Canis lupus familiaris: one gene and its partners. The protein of the gene in region 1 interacts with the protein of each later gene in a pairwise test. Links are inferred from orthologs where the notes say so. Each region holds a gene or a part of one and is shown in the gene's direction. Other genes may lie near its edges.

What was found. The genes of interacting proteins can lie anywhere in the genome.
Region 2: the proteins of CEP70 (region 1) and EMD interact in binary tests that used the Homo sapiens proteins (3 or more experiments, as listed by UniProt). The two-hybrid records come from large-scale screens. The link is inferred for Canis lupus familiaris from reciprocal best matches to the Homo sapiens genes CEP70 and EMD.
Region 3: the proteins of CEP70 (region 1) and C14H1orf35 interact in binary tests that used the Homo sapiens proteins (3 or more experiments, as listed by UniProt). The two-hybrid records come from large-scale screens. The link is inferred for Canis lupus familiaris from reciprocal best matches to the Homo sapiens genes CEP70 and C1orf35.
Region 4: the proteins of CEP70 (region 1) and TTLL10 interact in binary tests that used the Homo sapiens proteins (3 or more experiments, as listed by UniProt). The two-hybrid records come from large-scale screens. The link is inferred for Canis lupus familiaris from reciprocal best matches to the Homo sapiens genes CEP70 and TTLL10.
Region 5: the proteins of CEP70 (region 1) and SYTL5 interact in binary tests that used the Homo sapiens proteins (3 or more experiments, as listed by UniProt). The two-hybrid records come from large-scale screens. The link is inferred for Canis lupus familiaris from reciprocal best matches to the Homo sapiens genes CEP70 and SYTL5.

Annotation. Positions count from the first base shown.
Region 1 is NC_049244.1:35,300,475-35,305,352, reverse strand, and holds the start of CEP70 (centrosomal protein of 70 kDa), read left to right. Parts: upstream 1-1,510; 5' UTR 1,511-1,655; coding exon 1,656-1,670; intron 1,671-3,331; coding exon 3,332-3,422; intron 3,423-3,584; coding exon 3,585-3,708; intron 3,709-4,029; coding exon 4,030-4,210; intron 4,211-4,878.
Region 2 is NC_049260.1:123,236,923-123,241,603, reverse strand, and holds EMD (emerin), read left to right. Parts: upstream 1-1,499; 5' UTR 1,500-1,588; coding exon 1,589-1,670; intron 1,671-1,757; coding exon 1,758-1,865; intron 1,866-2,027; coding exon 2,028-2,105; intron 2,106-2,332; coding exon 2,333-2,466; intron 2,467-2,899; coding exon 2,900-2,973; intron 2,974-3,050; coding exon 3,051-3,384; 3' UTR 3,385-3,781; downstream 3,782-4,681. Other genes in the region: collagen alpha-1(I) chain-like, read left to right, coding at 357-716, 779-1,105. UniProt on the Homo sapiens protein: Stabilizes and promotes the formation of a nuclear actin cortical network. Stimulates actin polymerization in vitro by binding and stabilizing the pointed end of growing filaments. Inhibits beta-catenin activity by preventing its accumulation in the nucleus.
Region 3 is NC_049235.1:507,666-512,679, forward strand, and holds C14H1orf35 (multiple myeloma tumor-associated protein 2), read left to right. Parts: upstream 1-1,836; 5' UTR 1,837-1,930; coding exon 1,931-2,024; intron 2,025-2,268; coding exon 2,269-2,419; intron 2,420-2,534; coding exon 2,535-2,580; intron 2,581-2,654; coding exon 2,655-2,737; intron 2,738-2,842; coding exon of another isoform or gene 2,843-2,915; intron 2,916-3,026; coding exon 3,027-3,115; intron 3,116-3,362; coding exon 3,363-3,497; intron 3,498-3,583; coding exon 3,584-3,864; 3' UTR 3,865-4,114; downstream 4,115-5,014. Other genes in the region: MRPL55 (39S ribosomal protein L55, mitochondrial), read left to right, coding at 109-258.
Region 4 is NC_049226.1:56,838,434-56,843,293, forward strand, and holds the start of TTLL10 (inactive polyglycylase TTLL10), read left to right. Parts: upstream 1-1,660; 5' UTR 1,661-1,682; coding exon 1,683-2,023; intron 2,024-4,860. UniProt on the Homo sapiens protein: Inactive polyglycylase.
Region 5 is NC_049260.1:32,902,366-32,907,315, forward strand, and holds the start of SYTL5 (synaptotagmin-like protein 5), read left to right. Parts: upstream 1-1,750; 5' UTR 1,751-1,874; intron 1,875-4,950. UniProt on the Homo sapiens protein: May act as Rab effector protein and play a role in vesicle trafficking. Binds phospholipids.

The DNA of each region.
Region 1 (4,878 bases):
GTAGGGATCCCTGGGTGGCGCAGCAGTTTGGCGCCTGCCTTTGGCCCAGGGCGCGATCCTGGAGACCCGGGATCGAATCCCACATCGGGCTTCCGGTGCATGGAGCCTGCTTCTCCCTCTGCCTATGTCTCTGCCTCTCTCTCTTTCTCTTTCTGTGACTATCATAAATAAATAAAAATTAAAAAAAATAAAATAAAATAAGTTTGTATTTGTTAAAGATGTATACTGAAATCTAAACATTGAAGAAATGAAATAAGAATGCAAGAATGTTGGCTTTCATTGAAGCTGTATTCGTGGATTTATTATACTTTCTCTATTTTTGTATATTTCTAAAAATTTCTCTAAATTTACATTTATTTATTTATTTTTGTATATTTCTAAAAATTTCTCTAATACAGTTAGGCAACGTGAATATTTTTTATTGCCAATCTACTTCTTCTGATTTAACAAAAGATACTATATCTCCAGCAGCCCCTAAAGCCTAGGAGAAATTATAACTAGGTGAACGGTTTGTAAAAGCAGGATGGGTTACCAAAGTAAGGGTGGTTGAGTTGTTAAAGAGACCAAAGCTTACAGGGGAGATAGTATGACATTAAGCACAAAAGTGGCAGAATTTGGGAATTTGTAACATGTTATTGGGTTTATCTGAAAATAAGGTAGAAAGACTGTACCCTGTAGACCAGACTTAAGGGTGACTGGTAAATTGTTTGGTTGGATTTCACTATCTGAAACAGACATAAAAGAGTAGAAGGGTGCTTTGGAAGAAATACTACCTGGCAGTGAAGAGGCCTACCTTTTTCCTTAGTAATTCTGAGAAGATCATTTCACTTTTCTGGGATTCAGATGGTTATAGTACCTGATGTCTTGGTACAACTCTCTCATATGCTGCTCTGCCAGCTATGAACAGCTAGAGATTTTGGATTAAACACTATACAAGGTCCTCTCAAGATCTAAAAGTTCCTGATGCTAATGAATGTGTATGATTGTGCTTCTTGAAAGGAGGAATTATATCTACATACCAAAGAATCCAAATTTCCCTATAGGATGATAAAGTCTTAGATGATAAGAAGAAGTAATGGTAGGGTAGACTGAATATAAACTTTTGTGTCTGCCAGTCACACAGAATTCTTTGTTGCTAGCCTCTGATCTACTTAGAAATACAGACTACCTAAGCAAGTGGCACTGCATTTACCCTTGGTGTTTAGTCCAGTGAATTGTTAGACTGGCCTATAACTTTGGGTCAGGTATAGTTCTTTTGGCTTCAAGAAGCAGCTTCCACAAGATAGCAGTTTATTTATTAGTAGCACGTGCTTTGTACATATCTAATTAAAACAAATAGTTCTGTGTGTATGTGTAAAACTCATAATGTTTTATTTCTAGAGGAGAACATTATAAGATAGGATTTATTCTAATGATTCTTAAAATCAGCTTTCTAGGAAGTCATACAAGTTTTGACACAGGAATGCTCAAATTGCCTAAGGGTTATCCATTCTTTTAAATATAATTTTCTTTAACACCTATTGAACTTTTTCTTTTTTCATTTAGGCAACGTGAATATTTTTTATTGCCAATCTACTTCTTCTGATTTAACAAAAGATACTATATCTCCAGCAGCCCCTAAAGCCTAGGAGTCCAGTAAATCATTAAACAGACTCATGACTGAAAAACAGGTAAACTTGAAATATTATATATATATTATAAATAATATATATAATTATATATAATAACTATATAATTATATATATATAATTTGATCATTCAAAATGTGTGGCATTATTTACAGAGTATTTGGTTTTTATGAGTCATAGTAGATAGCCACTGAGATGCCCACATAGCTTTTGGTTCCTAAAGCAGATAGCTTCAGTAATTTTAATTCTGGATCATGAATCTTTGTGACCAACAACATAAATAAGGGAAAAGATTGTAGGAGGAGAAGTGTGGAAGGGATAAAGAAGGTGAAGAAAGTCAGCAGTCAAAAGGAAAGATTTGGTGCTGTTAGTAATAGTGCTATTGTAGTCATACCAGTAGAGAGCTTAATGTTTGGGGGCATTTGAATGTGGAGAGTAGTATTTTTATATGTACTTTGTCTATATTAATCTTTAAGCTATTACAATATTTAATACTATATCACTAGTAAAAAAACTATTTTATAAATTATATTTTTCAAGCACTTAAACATTGATTGTAAATTCACTCAGATTACCTTTTCAAATATACTCACATAACTTAAAAAGCAAGTAAATTAACTTCACACAGTGATTTCAAATTGATCATTGTATTTACATTAAAAGACTATTAATATCATGGGTTTAAATATCCAAAAAATCATCTCTATTTTTATTCTTATCTGTATTGTATATTCTTACTACCTTTTCTTCCCATTATTGTTTTTATTTACTTAATTTAGAGAGTTAGGGAAAAAAAAATTTAGAGAGTTAGGGTCCCCCTCTCAGGTTTATGGTACGAATAGGTATTTAGAATCAGGGATACAAAACTTGAGAATATCTTTCAGAGTGACGCTACTAGAATCAGTTACTTAGATGGACAGACTCCTTTTTATAGTTAGACCTTGTCCACTATACAAGGGACTATCTACATCATTGGCTTTGACTATTCAGGCATTTTGATTTTTTTTGGTGACCTTATTCATTAAGTGGTACTTGTTTCTGTGTGACTTGCATTTAATTTACTGTTCAGTAAATATGACCTAATTGGCAGCTGTTTCTTATCTTTCTTTAAACTTTGGTCAAACCTTTTTTTTTTTTTTTTTTAAGATTTTATTTATTTGAGAAAGAGCAAGAGCCTGCACACAAGCAGGGGTAGTAGGGTCAGAAGGAGAGGGAGAAGCAGACTCCACACTGAGCACAGAGCCTGACATGGGTTTGATCCCATGATCCTGAGATCATGACCTGAGCTAGAATCAGATGCTTAACCAGCTGAGCCACCCAGGCACCTTGCAGCTGTTTCTTTTGAGTAGGGCCTGGTGTGATTTGGTTAAGCAAAAAAACCCTAAGGTTTGTTTGGTTCATTGAAATTACAAGGTGTTTTTTGGTTGGTATTTTTGTTTCAATTTATCCATTACAGCCTATATGTATGAGTATGGAATTATATAATGTGCTTTATTATTTGTGCTTATTTGCATTCTTTTTGATCTGCTAATTTTTTAGACATTTGTTTTAATTTTAATCATCATGTGTGCATAAAAAATTCATATTAAGAAACTTTGGAGAAAAAGTTCCATTATTTTGTAAACAAGGAAATTATATTTGAGAGGGTGTTTCTTCACTTTATATATTGAAGTTGATCGTTCTCTCACTCCTTGTAATTACAGCGAGAAGAAGCAGAATGGGAAAGCATAAATGTGCTGTTGATGATGCATGGCTTAAAGCCTTTATCTCTAGTCGAAAGAACTGATCTTAAAGGTAATCAAATCCTATTCTTGCTAGATCCTATCCTTTCTCATTATGGTAAAAAAATTGTTTTTCCTTTTATTTTTTTATTATTATTTTTTTTCCTTTTAAAACTAATTTTTATCTTAAATTTTTTTGCCTTTTTTACTATCTGTATTATATTAAAAAATGTAGATCTCATCGTTTTTGATAAACAGTCATCACAAAGGATGAGGCAGAATTTGAAAACATTGGTGGAGGAAACAACACGTCAACAGAACATGATCCAGGAGCTCATAGAAACTAATCAGCAGCTTAAGTAAGAAAACAGAATTCTCTTTTGAATTGTTTGTATACCAGTGGTATGCATTCTAAAAATAATGCCTTGAATCTTGAACTTTAATTTTCTATTTTGACTAAATATTAAGTTTAAAAAATATTTTTAGTAGGTAAATCTTTCAGTAATAGCTTAGCTTAGATATGTAAGGGTGCCTTGTATTTCTTCCATTGGTTTGTGTTATATGACAGAAATTTTAACAATGCAATGAAATTTTAGAAATTCGTTATGTTGTTAGATGAGTATGTTTGTTAATGTGATTTCCTTCTATACTAAGGGAAGAAATCATGTGTCTGTTTTTAGAAATGAACTTCAGCTAGAACAAAGCCGAGCAGCCGATCAGGAACAACGAGCTAATGACTTGGAACATATTATGGAGAGTGTGAAATCCAAAATTGGTGAATTGGAGGATGAATCCCTAAATAGGGTTTGCCAGCAACAGAATAAAATAAAAGATCTTCAAAAGGAATATAAAGCTTTACAGGTATTATGTGTTTTCTTATATGATAGTAGTAAAACAGCTCATTAAGGTCACAGGTGACTTCTATGTCACTTAATTCAGTGGTCTTTATCTTATTGACAGATCACTGATTGCTTTCTAAAAATTCTTTCTTTGTTTGGTTTCCAGAACATCCTCTTCTCTGGTTTTCCTCTCACCACACTGGTCATTCTTTAATTCTTTTGCTGGCTCTTCTTATATTCCTTCCTATCCAATTAGTGCTGGGATTCTCTAGTACTTATTCCTTAGACCTTTTTTCTTTCCTATATATTCTGACTCCCTTGGTGATGTTCAGTCTAATGCATAGCATAAATTCATTAATAATTTCAAATCTTTATCCCAGGCATCCTCCCTTAGTTCCAGACTGATACCTTGCAGCCTACTGGATGTCTAATAGGCACCTAGAATTTTACATGTCTAAAATGGAGTTCCTGAATTTCTTCCCCCAGTTTTTTTCTTTTAGTCTTCACTCGGGTCCAAGTCACTTTCATTTCTCTATACCTATCTGTTGGTCTCCCTGTTTCTACCCTTGCCTTTTTCAGTATGCTTTCAGCATGGTAGCTCAGAAACCTCTAATGACTTTCCTTTTTCTTTAGGAGAAAATAAAAAAATCTTACTATGGCCTCTAACATTCTACATGATCTGGCTTCCTG
Region 2 (4,681 bases), on another chromosome or scaffold:
AGGGGCACGTCTCGAGTCTGTGTGTGTGTTCACACCAAGGCCCCATCTCACCACTCCCTGTGTGGCTTCCTCTTCTCCATCCTGTGACCCAAGGAGAACTGGTCTGTGACCCTCACCAGCTGGACCAGGATGAATCGGAGACCTGTCTCTTGTCCCTGTCACTAGCTATCATCTGATATCAAAGATAGCACCTCTTCTCCCTATGCTCCTAGTTCTGGGCCTCCGGGGGGGGGGGGCGCTTCATTTGTACCCACATTCCCTGAGTTGGCTTCATTTAGAATATGATTGTCACCACCTTTCCAATCCCCCCAGAACAGCTCTTTGCGACCAAGGCCTTCACGAATTCCTAATGACAGTGCAGGCTCTCCACGGCCTTGCAACCTCGCGCGCTCACCCGCGAGTACGCCGGGGCCCCCTGTGCTCGGCTCACCCCGGGGCCCACCCAGGCCCAAGCGCGCAGAGCCGGCCCAGCAGGTCGTCGGGGGCTTGAAGGCTCCCCGCCCCCCCAGGCTGCCACGGGGACGCCCTGGACAGCAGAGGAAAGCCCCGACGCCCCAGGTGGCTGGCGCGGGGGTCGGGCGCACGCTGGCCGCCGCCCGCACGCCGGGCTCGGCCCCCTGCCAGCGCCCACGGGCACGCCCAGTGCCTTGCAAGGATGCCCGCTCCTGGGGTGCCCGCGGCCTCCTGGCCCAGTGCCCCATTTCCTCCCGGGCGCAGTGGGAGGGAGGGAGGGAGGGAGGGTGGGAGGCGCTGGGGACCTGCGGGACGACGGGCGCAGGTGGAGAGCGGAGCGGGGCGGGGTGGCACCGGGGGCCGAGGCGGCTGCTGCCCGGGCCTGGGCCCCGCGGCCCCGAGGGCCCGCTCTCGGGATCGGGGTCCCTTCGCGCTGCGGCGGAGGCGCGGCCGGCCCGGGGCGGCCGGGGAGCGCGGGGTGCGGAGGGGGCAGGGGGCTGCGGGGACCGTCGGAGCCCGCGTGACTCAGGGAGCGCGAGCCGCGCCCAGCGCGTCAGTCCTGCGCCGCTTTCCTGTCCTGGCCGGTTTCTGCCGGTTCGACTTGCGTAGGTCCCCACCCCCGCCCTCCCGACCCCGACACGCCAGCCGGTGACGCCTCGACCGCCCGCCCCGCCCCGCCCCCACGTCGCGGCGAGCCCACGCTCGTCCCCGCCCCCGCAAGCCCGACTCCTCGCTCGAGCCCCGCCCCTGCGCGCCAGCGCGTGACGCCCCTCGGCCGGCGGGCCCCGCCCCTCCGGAGCGCGGCCCCGCCCCGCCGCCGCCGCCAGCCTATCCCGCCCGCTTGCGACGTCTGACGTCATGACGCCCGCCCCGCCCGCTCCCACGGTCCCCCGCTCCGCGCCGGCGCCGCCGGCCCGGCCCCGCCCCGCCCCGCGCGCAGTCCGCAGAGCCCGCGGCCGTGACGCGAGCGTGACGCAGGCGTGACGCGAGCGCTGCCGCTCCCGAGACGCTCGCGCCGCCCCCGCCGTGCTCGGAGGCAGCGGTAGCTGGGCCCGCGTCGCCAGGCCCGGGCCCCCCCAGCTCCCCGCCGCCCGCCGCCCGCCAGGCCCGGGCCCCCGGGTCCCCGCCGCCCGCCATGGACGACTACGCGGTCCTGTCGGACGCCGAGCTGGCCGCCGTGCTGCGCCAGTACAACATCCCGCACGGGCCTGTCGTGGGTACGCGGCGGCGAGCGCGCCCCCTCCCCGCCCCCCCCCCGGGGTCCGGCCCGCGGCCCTGACGCCCCGCGTCCCGTGTCTGGCCAGGTTCCACTCGCAAGCTCTACGAAAAGAAGATCTTCGAGTACGAGACCCAGAGGCGGAGGCTGTCGCCCCCCAACTCGTCCGCCTTCAATTTCTCCTATCGGTTCTCGGGTGAGGCCCCCGCCCCGGATCTCCACCTGGCCTCCCAGGGGGACGGGGTTTGGGCGACGGGGGGCACGGGGTCCGGAGGGTGTGGCAGGGGCGGTGGCTGGGAGGGGCACAGGAAGAAGGGAGGGGAGCCGGGGGCAAATGGTCCCGCCCCCCCCCCCTCAGACTTAGATTCGGCATCCGTGGACTCGGATATGTACGATCTGCCCAAGAAAGAAGACGCCTTGCTTTACCAGAGCAAGGGTAAGGCTGGGCGGGCGGGGGGGGGGCACCCTGGGGGGGGCACCCTGTCACCCTTACCCCCTCCCTCAGGGAGCCTGGTGTTGGGGGGACCTGGGATCTCAAGCCCGTCATCCTCAGCAGCCCCAGAGGGGAGAGACGGTGCCACAGGCTCCCACGTGGGACTGAGATTAGGGCCAGGTGGGCGCAGCCACTGTGCACCTTGCTACCGCTCTCCCCCCCTTCCCAAGGCTACGGCGATGACTACTACGAGGAGAGCTACCTGAGCACCAGGACCTACGGGGACCCTGAGCCTGTGGGCTCCTCCAAGGGCTTCCGCCAGCCATCAGCTTCACTCGCAGATTCGGACACCTTTCACCACCAGGTGAGTTGGCTGCCGAGCACCTGCATACAACCTGTGGGGGTCATAGCTGGGCTTGGACAAAACCTGGACGGGGGGGGGGGGGGGGGGGGGCGCACGCGGTAGGCCCTGTGCTTCCCGAGAGGCAAGGTAAGTGCACACCTCCCTTGGCAGGGCCGTCCTTGGGGGAGTGTCAGACCTAACACTAGGGCACCTGGGACGCCGTGCACCCTGACCTGGGATCTAGGTTTGAGATCTTTCTCAGACCCCCCGGGGCAGAAAGTAAGGTGCAGGCGGCCAGGATACCTGTCGAGTTGTGGAGCGGGTGACAAAGCCCTACCGGGCTAAGGCTGGTAACTCAGGAGGGTTTTGGAGGGAACAGGGTCCGGGTGTTTCAGCTAGGCTAGTTTGCAGTGAGGACGGGACAGGCTACAGGCTGCTGACTCTGCTGGCCAGTTCCCCTCTCCCTGACTGTTACCTGCAGGTGCGCGATGACAGTCTCTTCTCTTCTGAAGAGGACAGCAAGGACAGGTGAGTGGCAGGAAGGGCCAGGCAGCGGGTGGTTCTGGGCGCAGGCCCCCTGGCTCACCTGCTGTCCTCTGCCTCAGGGAACGCTCCGGGTATGGCCGGGACAGCGCCTACCAGAACATCGTGCACTACCGCCCTGTTTCCAACATCTCCAGAAGCTCCCTGGGCCTGTCCTATTATCCCACACCCTCTTCCACCTCTCCCATATCCTCATCTTCATCTTCCCCCACTTCGTGGCTCACCCGTCGTGCTATCCGGCCAGAAAAGCAGGCCCCTGGGGCTGGTCTGGGCCAGGACCGCCAGGTCCCACTCTGGGGCCAGCTGCTCCTGTTCCTGGTCTTTGCTGCCTTCCTGCTCTTTGTTTACTACTCCATGCAGGCTGAGGATGGCAATCCCTTCTGGACGGAGCCCTGAGGGGCTGGCTTCGTGGCCAGCTGTTCCCGGAAGTCCTGGCTGACTGCCTTAGTAGTGTCTGCTGGGGGAGGGGGTGGGGGCTTTTCTGTGTGTTCTAGCTTCGGTGTGCTGGGCTTGGCCCAGGGCAGTGCTTGCTCCCCTGCCTCGTTCTGCCCAGGAGGTGGCAAGCCCAGGCCCTCCGCGGCATGGCGGGCCCGGGCAGGCCTTCCTCTGGAGTCTCCTGGTCCTGCTTGCCTCTGATCCAGGGCCCAGGAGGGTAAGACCCTTCTCCTGGAGAGGAGAACATGGTTGTTGTCATTGCATGCCTCCTGTCTGTTGTCACCTCGTCGGGGGGGATTAACCCAGGCCACCCTGACTTTGTTTTCGTGGACACAATAAAAAGACCATTTATTTTTAACGTGTGGGCTCTCTTTGCTGGGAAGGACTTGGGCTGGGAGCCTCCAGGCCTTGGGTCTCCACGAGCAACATCTGGCTTTGTTCGCTCTCCCTTCTTGCTTTGGGGTTGGGGTAGGGATCGCATGCTACCCACGGGCACGTTTGTGCTTTACTGGTAGGGTTTGCTCCCTGACTCGTGACCCAAAGCTGCTGTAACTAGGCAAAGAAGCGTGCCCCCACGGGATGCAGAGAGCTCCCCCATAAATGCAGGTGAGGGTGCGTGCACAGCACTGGCTACAGATGTTCCGACAGGGAGGAGCCGACAGCCGGCCTCAGTACCCAAGGGCAGGTGGACAGGGAGGAAATGCGGCGAGTGGCGGGCTCCTCCCGGGCGGCCGCTTGTCCGGGGGGGGGGAGAGGCCCACAGGATGCCGCATCACCCCTGTGTAAATCCCACCCCTCACCTGCCTATGTTCTTGCTTATCTCCAGGTTTTCTGTGCGGGAGGCGAGCACCTCCACCTGCAAAGTACACACGTATTATTTACTTATTCATTTATTATTTATTTATTTACTTATTGATTGATTGTTTCTCAAAATTTTCTTTTTAAATATTTATTTATTCATGAGAAGGGGGGGCGGGGCAGAGACACAGGCAGAGGGAGAAGCAGGCTCCGTGCCGGGAGCCCAACATGGGACTCGATCCCAGGTCTCCAGGATCACACCCTGGGCCGAAGGCAGGCGCCAAAACGCTGAGCCACCCAGGGATCCGCACACGTGCCAGGGAAACGCAGGGCAGCGTGCCACATGAGGCCACGCACACGGTTCGGTGGGGCAGCCCAGGGGGAAGCGCTCAGCTGGAGGCAGGGGCTCCGGTGGACTTCCCCGACGGGAGGGGCCCCGGTCTCTCTCCCTGGCCTCTGA
Region 3 (5,014 bases), on another chromosome or scaffold:
CCAGCAGAACGTAAAAGCCCTAAATACAGAGTGGAGAATGAGGTGAAGTGGAGGCACGGACAAGGTTCTGGGCCCTCCAAGTGAGCTTGTGCATGCCCTTCCCCACAGATGCCCGTGGACCTGGATGCCCTGTCCCCAGAGGAGAGGCGGGCACGGTTCCGGAAACGAGAGTCACAGGTCCAGAAGAAAAAGGAGGAGCCAGAGCTCTATGATGACTTTGACGTGGAGCGGTACAAGCAGTTTTGGACAAAAAAATGACCAGGCCTGGAAGTGTCCTTAAACCGTGTGTTCTCGAAGCTGCCTCCACCTGGCCTTTCCTTCCCGCACGCTCGAGTCTGTTGTGAGCTCTCTGCGACCCAGTGGGCTAGGTGGCTAAGGATTGGGTCAGGCTGTGGTGTTCAGACGAGGTCTGAAGGGAGTGCCCGTGTGGGAGGAGGAAGGAGAGGGCCCTGGAGCCCCTCACTCCCTGACCAGCTGCAGCCTCAGGGGCCAGGGGCCCTCAAGAAGAGAGTGGGAGGAGCAGGGTGTCAGGGATGCTGGTACGGGCTGTCAGTGGACTGGCCCACAAAGGGAGGTGCCTTCAGCTGGGCTTGTGGCCCCTGTGACTACAACAAACCTGTGGTCGGCTGCCATTCTTCTGCTCCAGTGGTGGGTTTCAGCCTGGCCAGGCTTCTGCAAGACCAAAAGGCCAAGTCCCAACATTTCCACTTGTCGCTGGCCTGGCCCAGGCCTGCCTCTTGCCCTGGCCTGGGCTGTCAGGACTCTTGGAAACCTGAGTGAGTGCCCACCGTAGGGCACTGATACAAAAGGTGGGGAAGGTGCCCACGTTCTATGGGAGGGGGCTGTGTCTGGGCTCCTGGCGAAGGGTGCTGCATTAAGCACCCACCTTTGGACTCCTAAGTCCCTGGTGGTCCACTGAGTTTCCTGGCCACGCGCAGGGTCCTGGGAACATCCAACGGCATTGTCTGCCCTTCCCTTGAAGTGGGGTCACAGCAACGATGCAGGGGTCAACAGCAGAGCAGAGGGTGAGCGGGGCAGGGACAAGTGGGACTTGTAGCCACAAGGCAGGGTGGGTGCTGGTGACGGAAATCACTAAGAGGGCCCCCCCCCGCCCCAGGCAGGGGGTTCTGGCAGAAACCACCTACTGAGATTGCTGCTGGTGGGCCTGGCAAGACCTCCACTAACGCACGGGCACCTGCTTAGCTTCTGAAGGGGGCCGGAGGTGGCAGGCTCTTCACCACAGCGGGTGACACGGTGAAGTGGACGGAAGGCCCAGGCCCGTCTGCAGCGCTCTGGTCAGTGGAGGTCCCATCTGCACCAGGTGTTCCTGTGTGTGGGCCCCCGACCCCCGCTCCGCAGGACCTCGCCGCCGCCCACGTGGGGGGCTTCACACACTGTCCATGCCGCTGCTCCCCCGTGTCCAGGGCTCGGAGCTGATCCTGCTTTGCCCAGCACAGCCGCCCCCCGCGGCGCCAGAGGAGCCCGTGCATTGGCGCACCTGCGCCGTCCCGCCTGCCCTCCACGCTGGGGTCTCCAGGGGACGGCCCCGGGAGTTGCAGGCCGTGTCCCGCTTCTCCGGAGCCGAGCCGCCCCCGGTGCCCGCTCCCGGCACTGCGGCCCCACCCGCTCGCCCATCTCCCGGCACAGCCCCAGGACCGTCGCCCGCACAATGTGGCTCCCAACGCCGGCAGGATCCTCGGGACCCGCCTTGGCGCCTACGCCCGCTCCCTTCCCGGGCGGTGCGCCTAGCGCTGGGGGCAGGCGGGGCGGCGGGGCCGGGGAGCAATGCGCAGGCGCTTGCGGCGCTGCCCGGGTATGCGCGAGTGTGACGTCAAGGCGCGCGACGCGGCGGCGGGACCCCGGCGCCGGCGCCGCCCGGGGCGGCCAGGCCAGGGTTGACGGAGGCAGGGGCGGCGGGCGGCCTGGCACCATGTTCGGCTCCAGCCGGGGCGGCGTGCGTGGCGGGCAGGACCAGTTCAGCTGGGAGGACGTGAAGACCGACAAACAGAGAGAGAACTACCTGGGTCAGTGCGGCGCCGGGCCCGGGGGCGGGGGGGGCGGGGGCGGGGGGGCGGGGGAGGACGCCCGAGCTGCCGTGCGCGGTGCCGCAGGTGCGGGAAAGCGGGGTTGCGAGGTTCTCGGTGTGGGCAGCCGGGGGCGCGGGGGCGGGGAAGGAGAGGGCGCGAGGTGCGGGAAAGGGGGGCTGCGGGCGTGGGAAGGCGGGGAGCGGCGACCAGCGGGCCGAGCAGTCGCGCTGCGTCCCCGCAGGCAACTCGCTGATGGCCCCCGTGGGCCGCTGGCAGAAGGGCCGAGACCTCACTTGGTACGCCAAGGGCCGGGCGGACGGCGCGGGACTGAGCCGGGAGGAGGAGCTGGCGGCCGTGCGGCAGGCGGAGCAGGAGGCACTCATGGCGGCGCTGTGAGTGGGCCCCGCGGGGTCGGGGGAGCTCGGGGGGCCCGGGGGCGAGGCGGGGTCCGAGGGGCAAGGCCAGGGACTCCGGCCGCCGCCTGAAGCTCGCCCGCGGCCCCCACAGAGGCTACAAGAACGTGAGGAAGCAGCCCACTGGCCTGAGCAAGGAGGTGAGCGGCGCACGGGGGGCGGGGCGCCCGGAGTCTGTGCGAACCCCCGCCTGAGACCCGCTGGCTCCGCACAGGACTTTGTGGAGGTCTGCAAGCGAGAAGGAGGGGAGCATGAGGAGAAGGGAGTGGACCGGCTGCTGGGCCTAGGGAGCTCCAGGTGCGTGGCTGGGGGGTGGAAGGGGCCCTCCCCAGGTGGACGCACCGCCCCGCCGAGGGAGGCCTGGGCCTTCTCACCGTGGGGTCCTCGCCTGCCTTCCCGCAGCGGCTCTGCAGGCCGAGTGGCACTGTCCCGGGAAGACAAGGAGGCCGCCAAGCTGGGGCTGTCGGTGTTCACGGTAAACCCCCCTCTGCGGGCGGGGCACCCCAGAATCGGGCGGGCGCCGAAACTGGGACGCCCCCCCACAGCCCCCTAGAGTGCCTTCCTTCCTTGCTCCTTCCCTCCCCAGCACCACCGCGTGGAGAGCAGCCGCCCAGGGGCCTCCCCCACCTCTGCTAGGAAGAAGCCTCGGTTTGAGGAGGAGAAGGTGCAGCCTGGGTAAGGGCTGCTCCCACCCCTTGGTCCCAGGCCCACCTGCTGGGCTCCCCCAAGGGGGAGGCAAGGTGCACTCCCACCCCTGCTTTTCCTCCCTGGATGGGGAAGCAGGGCGCCTTCCTACCTCTGCTGCTCCTGGCAGTTTCCTGCCACAACGGGAAGGAAGGACCGCTGTACCCACTGGCCACAGGGAGGGGGGGGTGTGTCTGTGTGGACAGTGCACAGGGGACGCCACCCCACGTCCCTGCAGCCTGGAGAGCCACAGGAAGAGCAGGAAAGAGAAGAAGAAGAAGAAGAAGAGGAAGAAGAAGCACAAGAAAGAGAAGAAGAAAGACAAGGCACACAGGAGCAGGGTGGCTTCTCCACTGTCTCCAGCTCCTGCAAGGTAGGTGTGCTCAGCCTTGCCGGGGCAGAGGGAAGGTCTGGGGAGCAGGGCAGCCTCCCCCTGACCACATGTCCCCATATCCCCAGGCCGGGGCACCACCAGTGCGGCTCTGACTCTGAAGATTCCTTGCCCTGCTCCAAGAGGCGACGCAGCCACCACAGTGACTGAGGCCAGATCACAAGGGGCCCCCATGTCCAGCAGGGGACCTGCCCCGGGAGGACACACTTGCCTGGGAAGGCCCCGAGACACTTCTATTTTTCTTCAACTCACTTTGTACTTAAATAAACTTATTTTAAGGGGAAAGCCTCTCATCCTTGAGGGAAGGTGGCTGTCATGTCCCAGTAAAGTTCCAGCAAGACCAGCCTGAGACCCTGCTGGTAGGGCGGGGAGGGGGGGGGGGGGCGGGCTCTCCCTGGGTTACCATGTCCAACCCCAGGGCACAGACGTGCACCTGGAGCCAGCAGTGTGCCCCACCCCTGGGAGGTGAGCACCTAGTCATTAAACCCTCCTATTACAGCCTGCCTGCAGGGAGGATGAAACCCAGGGTGCACTCATGATTGTGAAACTGGCATCTTTGGCTTTAAGTCATCAAACTAAAAACGATTCTGTCTTCATAACCCTGGCCCTGGTGTTTCAACCTGGTAGTGGTATAAACAATCTTGGGCGGGGGCCAGACTGGGCGCCCCCAGCCAGGAGAAGGAACCAGACCAGCATGCCCAGTCAGGTGGGAGGGATGGTCTCCAGCCAAAGAGCCACTAGGAGCCCTGCCAGGGGTTTCCTACCCCTCAGGAGCAGGCTGGCTAGCAGGGATGGGCGTGGACAAGAGCAGGCCTCGGGCACACCCAGTGTGGTGACCCTGCTGTCCCTCCACGTCCCAGTCCCACAGAATAGACCAGGGGCTGCACTAACAGTCAGCGGGTGGACGATGAGAGGGCGCTGGGTCATATGCACACCTAACACAGGGAGCAGTGAGCCACACCATGTAGGTCCCTAGCCAGTGACATCCTCTGTGCACAGTGGTAAGTGTGGGTCAGTGGCACCCAAGCACTGGAAAGCCATGAAATAGTTAAGAGATTTTATTCTAGTAGCTATAATTACAGTGCTTGTTTGTCGAAATGAAAACTGAAAACAAGTATACAAAACAGTTGATTACTAATCGTGTATTGAAAGCAGTAAGAGGTTCCACGACACCAAATAAACCAGTTCTGAGAACTTCCCCAAGATAAAGTTGAACAGCTCCAGCTTCTTCAGTGTTTATCAAAATACAAAAGAAAACAGTAGAGGTCGTTGTTTTGATGGCAAATCTGACCCTTGCAGGCTGAGGGAGTGAAAGCACATGTAGACCAGGGCTCCCGGGGCTCGGGGCTGAGGTGCTGGGATGACTGGCCTGCCCGCCCGCACTCCTGCTGGTGAGACCCCAGGCAGCCCAGAGGAAGCCAGAGTGCCCACACTGCCCCCAGGGAGGCCGGGGTCCCTCCAAGGGGTCCGTGAGCAGTGATGCAGCCCCCAGCCCATCT
Region 4 (4,860 bases), on another chromosome or scaffold:
GTGGCCCCAGATGTCACAACTGAGTGGGGAGCCACCCTGTCCTCACCACATCCTGGCTCTGGGGGCTCAGTGAACACTGGCTGTGGCCTCCTGCAGCCACCCCTCATCCTCCTGGGAGCTTCTGAATGCCCACGAGCCCCAACCCGACATTTCTGGGCAGAGCCAGGTGGTTCTGATGCAGGGCAGCACCAAGCAGCTCTGTGACTGAGAGGATGGGGCAGCGTGCAGACGTCAGGCTGTGGGCCTGAGACAGGGGTCAGCGGCGAGCAGCCCTTCCTCCCACTCCCATCCAACGGCAAATGCCTTTGAGTTTTGTTAGTGAGCAATGCCTTAGTCTCCCCAAAACACAGGTGCCAGGCCAGGTGCATCCTTCCCCCACACACACCTCCTGAGTGAGTGGTCCTGACAGCCCTGAGGAGGGGCATGCCTAGTGGGTCACCCTCATCAACACTGCCCTGGGGCTGGAGGTGGGAAGGTCGGAGTGTCAGAGATCACTGAAGCTCCAAGGCTGGGACCAGGGGAACTAGACCAACTCCCACTGCCCCCTGTGGAGGCAAGGCAGGTGCTCCCACCCCCAGCACTGCCTTTGGGGCAGAAGGCCAGGTTTCTGGGGTAGAGAGTGGATTCAGAGGGTCTTCCACCAGGACCCCAGTGATTAGGCCCATGAGGACTCCTGGACAGGGGGTGGGGAACACCCAGCCATCGTCTGGGACCTCTCTTGCAGTAGGGATGGGACAGCACTCCCTGAAGTGCTACCGCCCTCAGGGGGGGCCTCTGAGGCAGCCACCAGCTCTTCTGGCCACCTCCACCCTGGAGGACAGCCTTTGGTGTAAGACCAGGCCCTGGATGGAAAGGTGAGGCTGAACCAAGCTGGGCTCCTGGGGTAGAACAAGCCCCAGCGTTGGCAGCCCGGGGGACAGGCCCTTTGTCACCAGGAGTTTACAGCAGAGCTGCAGGGTCGTTATGGAAAACAGCTGGGCCCTCAGGGATCTCTGCTGGTGGGGCCAATTACCCGTGAAGCTGTGTTTCATCACGGGACCTTCCGCCGGGAGTGTCCCCGCATTACCCCCCCAAACTGGACGGGGCCCTCAGACCGGCCCCTGCCCGGCAGAAGGGGCCTTCCGGCAGCCTGGCATCCCCAACATGTGGGTCTATGTGACACGTGTCTGCCCCGTTCTGCAGCCTCCTGCCCTAGGGCGTGGCTGGAGGCATACAGGGGAGGCAGACCCCCCCTTTGCTGCCACAGCCTGGGGCTGGGGCCAAGAGCCAGAGGGGCAGGTCCAGGCCTGGCCTTCTATCAATGGGAGCCTCAGTCCCGGGGTGCAGGGGGCCATTGCGGGGCCAGGCCTGGGGCCCAGCAGAGGGTGCAGGCTGTGACCTCAGTGGCCCCCTCCTCATGGGCAAGGCGGTGCCCAGGGGCCAGGACGGTAGCTTGCACACTCCATGCATGGCAGCTCCTACAGAAGCCTTCCTCCCTGGTTTTTGTTCAAGCTGGGCCCCGGCAGCAGCGGGCGGGCGAGGCGGGCGAGCTGGGCGAGGCGGGGGCAGGAATGTGTGCGGGGCCTGCCGCCCGCCCTGCCGCTGCGTCACGTCGCTGCCTCCCTCCTGGCCTATGGGAGCCCAGGGGACACACCTGTCGGCGGCCAGGAGCAGAGATTGGTCGGCAGTGAGCAGGCACCTGCATGGGGCGGGGTGAGGCCCTACATGTAAGGCGAGCCTGGGGCCACCGTCTCTTCCCTGCCCTGCCCTTCACAGCTGCAGAAGGACCCGCCACAGCCTCCATTGTTCCCCGTCGCTCTCCAAACTTCCCTGAAAGACCAGGCCAGCTGTCCACCTGCACACGTGTAAACCTAAGAGTTCCCTTTGTGAGGAGCCTGAGCTGCGGGAGGCAGGAAGCTGGTCTTTTCCAGGAGGCCGGCAGTCCTCGCCCGCCTCCAAGCCGCTCCGAGTTTGGATCTTGGTTGGGGGCAGGTTGGGCAGAAGCCAAACCTGGGCACCCAGGCGGTTCACCACGGGCTGACAGGTATTCGGGGTGACTGGTGCCAAAGCTTCTCTGATGTCTGTTCTGAGGCCTGGGGGGTCCTGGATGCAGGGACAGTGCGGAACGTGCAGGCCAGGCTGCAGGCCAGGCTGCCGGCCGGGGTCGGGGAGCGGCCTCCCGCCGTCCTTCAGGTGCAAGACCTGTTGGGGCAGGCAAGCCGGGAGGCGGCGGCCAGCAGCCTGAGGAGGCTGCTGTGTGGGGAGAGTCCTTCGAGTGGCTGGCTGACCCAGGGCAGACAGAGTGACGGTGGCCAACGGGCTCAGACGCGGGCCAGGGTGATCCTTCCCCTCCAAGGAGGTGCCCCTCTGGCTGAGCATGAGGGCTGTGGGCTGCAGAGCTGTCTCAGGCTGGCCGGGGCCGCTGAGGTCGGCGGGCGGAAGCAGCCAGGCAGTGGGTGTCCTCTAGCCACCCTGAAGGCAGCTCATGGTCACTGGCTGCCAGGGTTCCCGCCTTCCGCCTGGTGACGGGACCTTCTGGAAAGCTCCCCTGCTGGCCGCCGATGTGCCAGCTCCCAAGGCCCCTTGTTTCCTCGGCTGGCGCAGGGTGCGGGGAAGGGCCTGGTGGGGGGGCTCCGGGGTGGGATTCCGCAGTTTGCTCTCGGAGGGAAGGGCTTGGCTCTGGCGAGCAGGGCTCGGGATCAGAGCCGGTCTGACCTGGATTCAGGCCTTTCACGCCTGCGTCTGAGGCGCCAACAAAGCCGGAACCACCTCGGAGAAGGTGCGGGCCAGCCCCTCACCCAACACCCCTGCTGGGGCAGGTCCTCGGCTGTGTCTGTGGTCACGGCCCACAGACCCGAGCCGGAGCAGAGTGCGGCCCCGCCACCTCAGCGGTGTGTGCCCGGCTTTGAACTTGCCGCGTGGCTGCCCCAGAGCGGCTCCCACAGATCCGAGTCACTGGCTTTTCTAGAGGTGATAACATTGCTGCGAGGAGATGCTAACTGTCTGGGGCATAATGCAGAGCTCATGGTTCGTTTAGGGCACAGAAATACCATGTTTTCATTAATCCAGTGGGAGCATTCTAGGCCTTTTTTAGGCTGTCTGAAAATTTAGGTCTGTTTTGTTTTGTTTTTTTCTAGTAACCCAGATGAAATGCTTACAAGTCAGAGCAATTGGCAGGGTGTCGAATTGGCCAAAATAAGTGCAAAGCATTTCCTTTATGAAAGTGCAAAACAGCTGTAAGATAGGGACACCGTCCACTGTTACTTTTCCGACATTTTGGTCATTTGCAAATGCCTTCTCTGCAAAACCAGCGCGTAAGACCGTCTCTGGCGAGTCTGAGAGGAAGTGAATGGCCTAAAGGGGTCCCCCACCCCGAGGAGCCTCTGTGCCCCCGGCTGGCCGACGGTGGGCGCGCCCCGGGAGGGCTGCGAGCCGGTGCCCGCCGTGCCCTCCCTCCGTGTGCGGGAAATGGCGGCCGTGCAGGAAGCGCCCGGGTGTAGTCGGGCCAGCGCTCGCCGCCCCTCACCCCCAGCGGCCTCCGGGCCTGCGGGCTGATCTGCGCAGCACACAGGGGTTGGGTTTCAGGGCTTTGTTCTGTGTGCGGCCCTCAACGTTGATTAAGGCCCGTCAGGCAGGTTACCCCGCAAGTTAGGTTTTCACGCCAGGATCGCCAGGATCGCGTTCCCCACCCAGCTCTGTGCCCGTGTAGGTGGGACGGCCAAGGGCCGGTGGGAGAGGAGCCTGGAGGGTGCTGCTCTGGGCTTCTTGATTCATTCCTTGATTTTTCCGAGCTGAGCCTGCTTGGGATGGTGATGATTAACCAGACCCCACATCCGGGACCGACATAAGGCTGGCTTCCCCCTGCGACATCTGGCAGAGAAAGCTCCATTTAGGCAGTCTGAGACTGGGAGGGTTATTTTCACTTTTTGCGTATCACCCCATAAAACTTGCCACTCCTGTCTGCCCCAGACGTGGGACGCTTGGGCTCTTGACCTCGCACTCAGCCGCAATCAGAGGCCAAGGCCAGGTTCTGGGTTCAGGAAGAGAGTGGGATTCTATCCTGGAACTTAGGAGGGAGCACTCTGCCGCCCACCTCCCCCCGACCTGCCCCGGCTCTGTCCCCGTGTCTGTCCGCGTGTCCGTCCACGCACCTCTTCACCTCCCAGGTGAGAAGGTAGGGCTGATGGTGGGCAGCAAACAGCTGGGGAGGCCTATTCACCAGGCTCTCAGCCAGGCCATCTCTGGGCCTGTGGGGACTCCAGGGTCTCTGGCGCTCCCAAAGTTGGGCCGGCCCGGAGTGGCCAAGGACACTAGGGACTCCAGGCCCTGGCTCCAGAGGCCACCCAGCGGGAGGCCAGTCTGTGCACTGTGGGCTGGCTATGAGGGAGGGACCCTGGATACCCAACCCCCCACTGCCTCCCCCTGTAGCCTGGCAGCCGAGAGTGGAGCTGAAATTTAACTCACCTCTGAAAGCAAAGTTGAGATGGTTTCACTTAGCTCAGAGAAAGGTGAAATTGCCTACCTCCAGCACACTGATTTTACAGGGTCCATGAGAGAGACCTTGAAAGGTGACGTATGGAGCCAGGACGGGTGGGAGGTGGTGACAGGGGCACAGGGCAGGAGCCTGACAGTGAGGTCCATCCCCTGAGCCTGGACATACTCACCTGGAGGCCTCCTTCCCAGGTGGAGGGCAGGCATCTCACCTGTCCCCCCAAAACGGCCTACATTAGGGTCGGGTCCCCTCAGAAATGTTGGCCATTCCCAAGGACAAAGCCAGAGAACTCGGCCTTGGCCAGGCAAGTGGACACAGTCTTTGTTGTGGTCAGCTGGACAGCCTGGGGGGAATGGGCATGGGCCTACACCCCCTCCCTACAGCCTCTG
Region 5 (4,950 bases), on another chromosome or scaffold:
ACCAGTTGGCCCATGCTGGGGGATGTGGAAGCTCCAAGCAATAAGAGTGAAGAGATCTTGCTAATACCTCATTAATCTCGTGGGCATCCACCTGAGATCCCAGAAGCCTTAGGAATAAAGACCGTGCCCTAAAGTAAAACCTATAATAGATCTACCCTTGAAAATTGTAAAACCCTACCCTTATGAGATATGGAGAAGAGATAGCATTTGGAGTCTGATACCTTAAAATGAACCAGGCTTGGGGAAGACCTTAGATTTTCTACATACCTACCTTAACAAAGCATAAAACCAAACCTATTGAACTGCCTACTAGAACAGAAATCAACACTCTTCAGAGTAAGATAGCTGAATCTAGAATCTCTAAACATATCCACACTGCCCAGTGAACAATAAAAATTATTCAACATGCAAAGAAACAGGAAAATATGACCTCTGGTCAAGAAAAAAAGAAGCCAAGATGCTCAGTTGTTGGCCTTTTAAGACAATGACTTTAAAGCAATTATTCTGTGGTTAAAGAACTACAGGAGAATATGTTCAAAGAATAAAAGAAATATGGTCTTAATGAATGAACAGGGAGGGAATTTCAGCAGGTAAGTGGAAACTATAAATAACCAAATAAAAACTTTAGAACCTACCTAGGAATTGGAAAGACTCACTTTTCCATATGCTTCCCAGTTTTTAAACCCCAGAAACAACTATGTCAGCTTTTGCACATCTGCCTGCTGTTTGTCTCACTTGCTCACTTTGCTCACTTTGCTCACTTTTAAATGCAAGAAATCCTTTAGAACTTAAAATTATAATAACCAAAATAAGAATACACTAGCTGGGCTCAACATCAGCTTGAAGGTGGCCAAAGAGAGTCAGTGAACTTAAAGACAGATAAATAGGAGTTATCCAATCAAAAAACAAAAACAGAACAAAATAGATATCATTGAGACACTTTTTTAAAACATAGGAAGTAATAACTCTCTTGGTACTTAAAGTCAGACCCCATCTTCTACTCAATTCCCTGGCACCCCAAAGGGCCATTGCATCTAAAATGAGGCCTGCTATGATCATATAAATGAACAATCATGTTGGGGAAATAATCTTCCAGAATTTTTACTGACTCCAAATTAAGATGCAGTATAGTAAAATATTAAGAAAATTTCACTCATTATCTAATGTTCAGCCAAGCAGCCACATCCTGTTGCAGTTATCTTTTAAAAATTATACATACAAAAAGAAATTATATGTACACAGTGAAGTATCATAGTTAGACACACAGACTGTGGTGCTGGAGTGCCTGGATTTAACTTCTGGCTCTACCATTTACTAATTGGGTAACTGTAGGCAAAATGCCTACTTTGCCCATGTGTAGTAGGGAGATAGTAAGAGTTCATACTTAATAAATTTTTGAACTTGTGGGAAATGATATATGTAACAAACTTGGAATTGCACCTGGCACATATGTGTTATCATTAAGTATATTTTTTTCTCAGATCTTTTGAGAATAGAATATTATAAGGAACAGAATATTAAAATAATGAATCCCCTTTAAAACATTAATTTAAATAATATCTCATTTCACAAATCTTCCAAAATGCGCTTTAGCAGATGAAACAGCTCTTACCTTTCCCCTGCTGATCAACAGAGACATTCCTTTTTGAAAGTGGACATACTGCCTGCTTCATGGAATAGCTGTCCACCACAGATAAACATTACTCTGTGCTACTGGGTGTGTTCAGTGTGTAAATAGATTGTGGGAACACGAGAGGCTGGTTTTTCAAGTTCCTGCTCCTAGCACTCCATGAGGGTCAAGTAGACCAGCGTTCCCCGATTGGTGTGTCTGAAAGAAAACTGTGTCTACAAAATGTTCTAGTCATCAGATTGAGGTAAGAATAATGTGTTTAGGGGTCTTCAGTGTGACGTCTCCTTTCTTGATTTTTGTATTTTTGTGTGTTGAGGGGTTGGGATTTGTCAGGAAATGAATGACTTCTTCCACCATTTGATATGAGATTTTATGACGAGAGGAGGAGGATAGGAATATATAAAGAACATTTTGGCTGTTGGACTGCTATATAAATTTGATGGCTTGAGAAGGGAAATCTATCTTCTTGTTTTTAGCACTTAATTTAATCTACAAATTGAAACATTGCACTAAATCCTAACGAAAAAATGAGTGTCTACATAAGCAAATATGTATCCTTGTGACATAGATCAGGTTCACAGCAAAAGTATTGTCACTTTGCTGAAAACCTCTCATCCCTCTCGATAGAAGTTCTGTTCTGAATTTCATTTGTTAAAAAACTCAGATGTTTTATTTAGTGTTGTTGAGCTATAATCCTGTTCTTGATATGGTTAAATATCCACTGTGGTTGTAAATTTAGTAGAAAGATTGCTAAAGCCTGAACTCCCAGGAATAATTTCAACATGAAGGTGAGGTTTTAATACCATGAGGGGACGAGATACTGAGTGAATATGAATATACACTAGAAAGATGCATCAGATTTTGAAAATTACTCTTTAATATGGATTGTTTTAGTTAGCAGTACTATCTTCCTCGTTTAAGGGAAAATACATTTTGCCGCATAATACATCAAACTCTGTACTTGGGAGAAAAAAGGAGTTATCTATATCAAGTATTCAAAATTGTAAGTTGCAAATATTACTCATATGTGATAATGTATTTAAAAATACACCTTAAATCTGAGCCTCCTTAAAACATCTTTTAAACGCAGGAATTTAGTGTTCAGGTTTTTTTGCTATATAATAAGTTGCTTATATGTTGTTTGGGTACCAGCTTAAGCACAAGACTGTTATAATTTATACCCTGTGGCTTAAGTGCATGATGACATTCAAATGGACTCTGGTGAGATCCTTAAATAGATCTATACATCCCTGAGTGTAAACACACATGCACGCATGCGCGCACACACGCACATACACATTTACATATGGGCAACTAATACTGGGGAAACAGGTAAGGGAGATGATGAGAAAATGTGTCTTTGTTGTCAAATGTTTATCCCATGTGCTTATGATTTTCTGAAATTCTCTGCAAGCGTCAGTTTGGGAATTAGGTTTGCGCTGCCATTCGTTTTATTCTAGCTTGATAATGTCTTCTAATAAGTTTAGGGAATGAAATAATGTTTCTACTCCTTTGTGGCCTGGAGGCACATTTGGTGTGTTCCTTGAAACTACTCTCTCTTACTTATTTAGTATGTTAAGGAAATGCAACTTTAATACGTGAAATGAGCAGTTTGTTTTACCTAACTGAGCTCTGTTATACAATGGCATATGTTATGACTGTTTTGCCAGCATATGTAATAACTTAGCTAATCATCTTCAGTACTTCCTATTTAGAATTTACTCGTAACTGTTTTGTGCATCCCATATGCTGCTCGTGCATGTGCTCTCCCTCACACATTCAACCCCACACATGCATTCCTGCTTTTGAATGATTTCACAGGATTCTTTAACTTCTCTCCAACTTGGGTCCATTCCTGGCTCTGTCTTTCTGTGAGTAGTGCCATTGTTTCCTCTGACTTCTGCTTACCGTGCTTTCTCCACATCTTCCGTCATGCCTAGCCCATAGACTTCTCTCTTTTTTTTTTAAAAAAAGAGTATGTATGTATGTATGTATGTATGTATGTATTATTTATTTATTTATTTTATTTATTTATTTATTTATTTATGAGAGACACAGAGATGCAGAGACATAGGCAGAGGGAGAAGCAGGATCCTCACTGGGAGCCCGATGCGGGACTCAATCCTGGAACCCTGGGATCACACCCTAACCCGAAGGCAGATGCTCAACCGCTGAGCCACTCAGCTGTCCCTAACCCATAGGCTTCTAATTCTACTGGTTCCATTGCTTCCATCACTTGTAGAGCTTGCGACTGGAGTGGCTACCTTAAGTTCTGGAAGATCATGTGGAAGTCCAGCAGATGTCCGTACAAAACCTATTAAATATATAGTATTCTAGGATAGGAAATTTCCTCAATCTGATTTCTCTCTCCTTTCAGCAAAACACATCTCTAGGAAGTACTTAATAAACTCAGCCCCTTACTGCCTTATGACCTATTTTATCTCTTTTAAAACCTAAATTTCTTTAAATTTTCCTGCAATTACAATAACATCTATCTTCACCTGATTGTCATTGTACTTCCTAGGGTCACTTGTGATGCTATTAAGAAAAGGAATTATATTCATTCATTTATTTATCCATTCAATAAATATGATGGCTATGCATCAGGCACTGCTATAAACTGAGGTTACAGTATGCAACACCCAGGTTGACCTTTAGGCATTTCTAGTCTACTTAGGAAAGATGTTAATTTACCCAAATAATTCATTTCAATTATGTTAAGTGCCATGAAGGATACTTTTCCAAATCCTCCTCCTGTTTGACTACTTTGCTCTATGTGACGTTCATGATCATTTCCTACTTCTTGAATTCTCCCTTCCTCATCATCCATGACTCTATATTATCTATTCAACTACTTGTCTACCACTTTCCCCCTTGTCTCCTTCTCTTCTCTTCCCTACTCGGTTGTTCCTCCAGAGGTTTATTATTTGCCCCATAATCTCTTAACTACTTTTTTCTTGCCTGTGATGTCTCATCAACCCATAGTTTTAAATATCATAGTTAAAAATATTTTAAATAATGCCTCTAAGATACCCTTTTCCAGGTTTTTCCATCTACTATGTATTTTCCCACTTGTATGTCCTGCTGTCACCTAATATTCATCTGTGGTTGTAGCCAAACACACTGTCTTTTATATCCTCCTCTTTCATCCAGGTTTCTGCTAATGGTGTTGAGGATCTCCTGGTTTCTCACATATGAAACCTTGGAGCCCCTTTGGCTTCTGAGTTTTCCTTTGCTTTCGATACTCAAACCATTACCAAGTCTTAGCATTCTCTTTATGATGATGTGTCTAGACTCTATCCTTTCCCCCATAGCTTTTC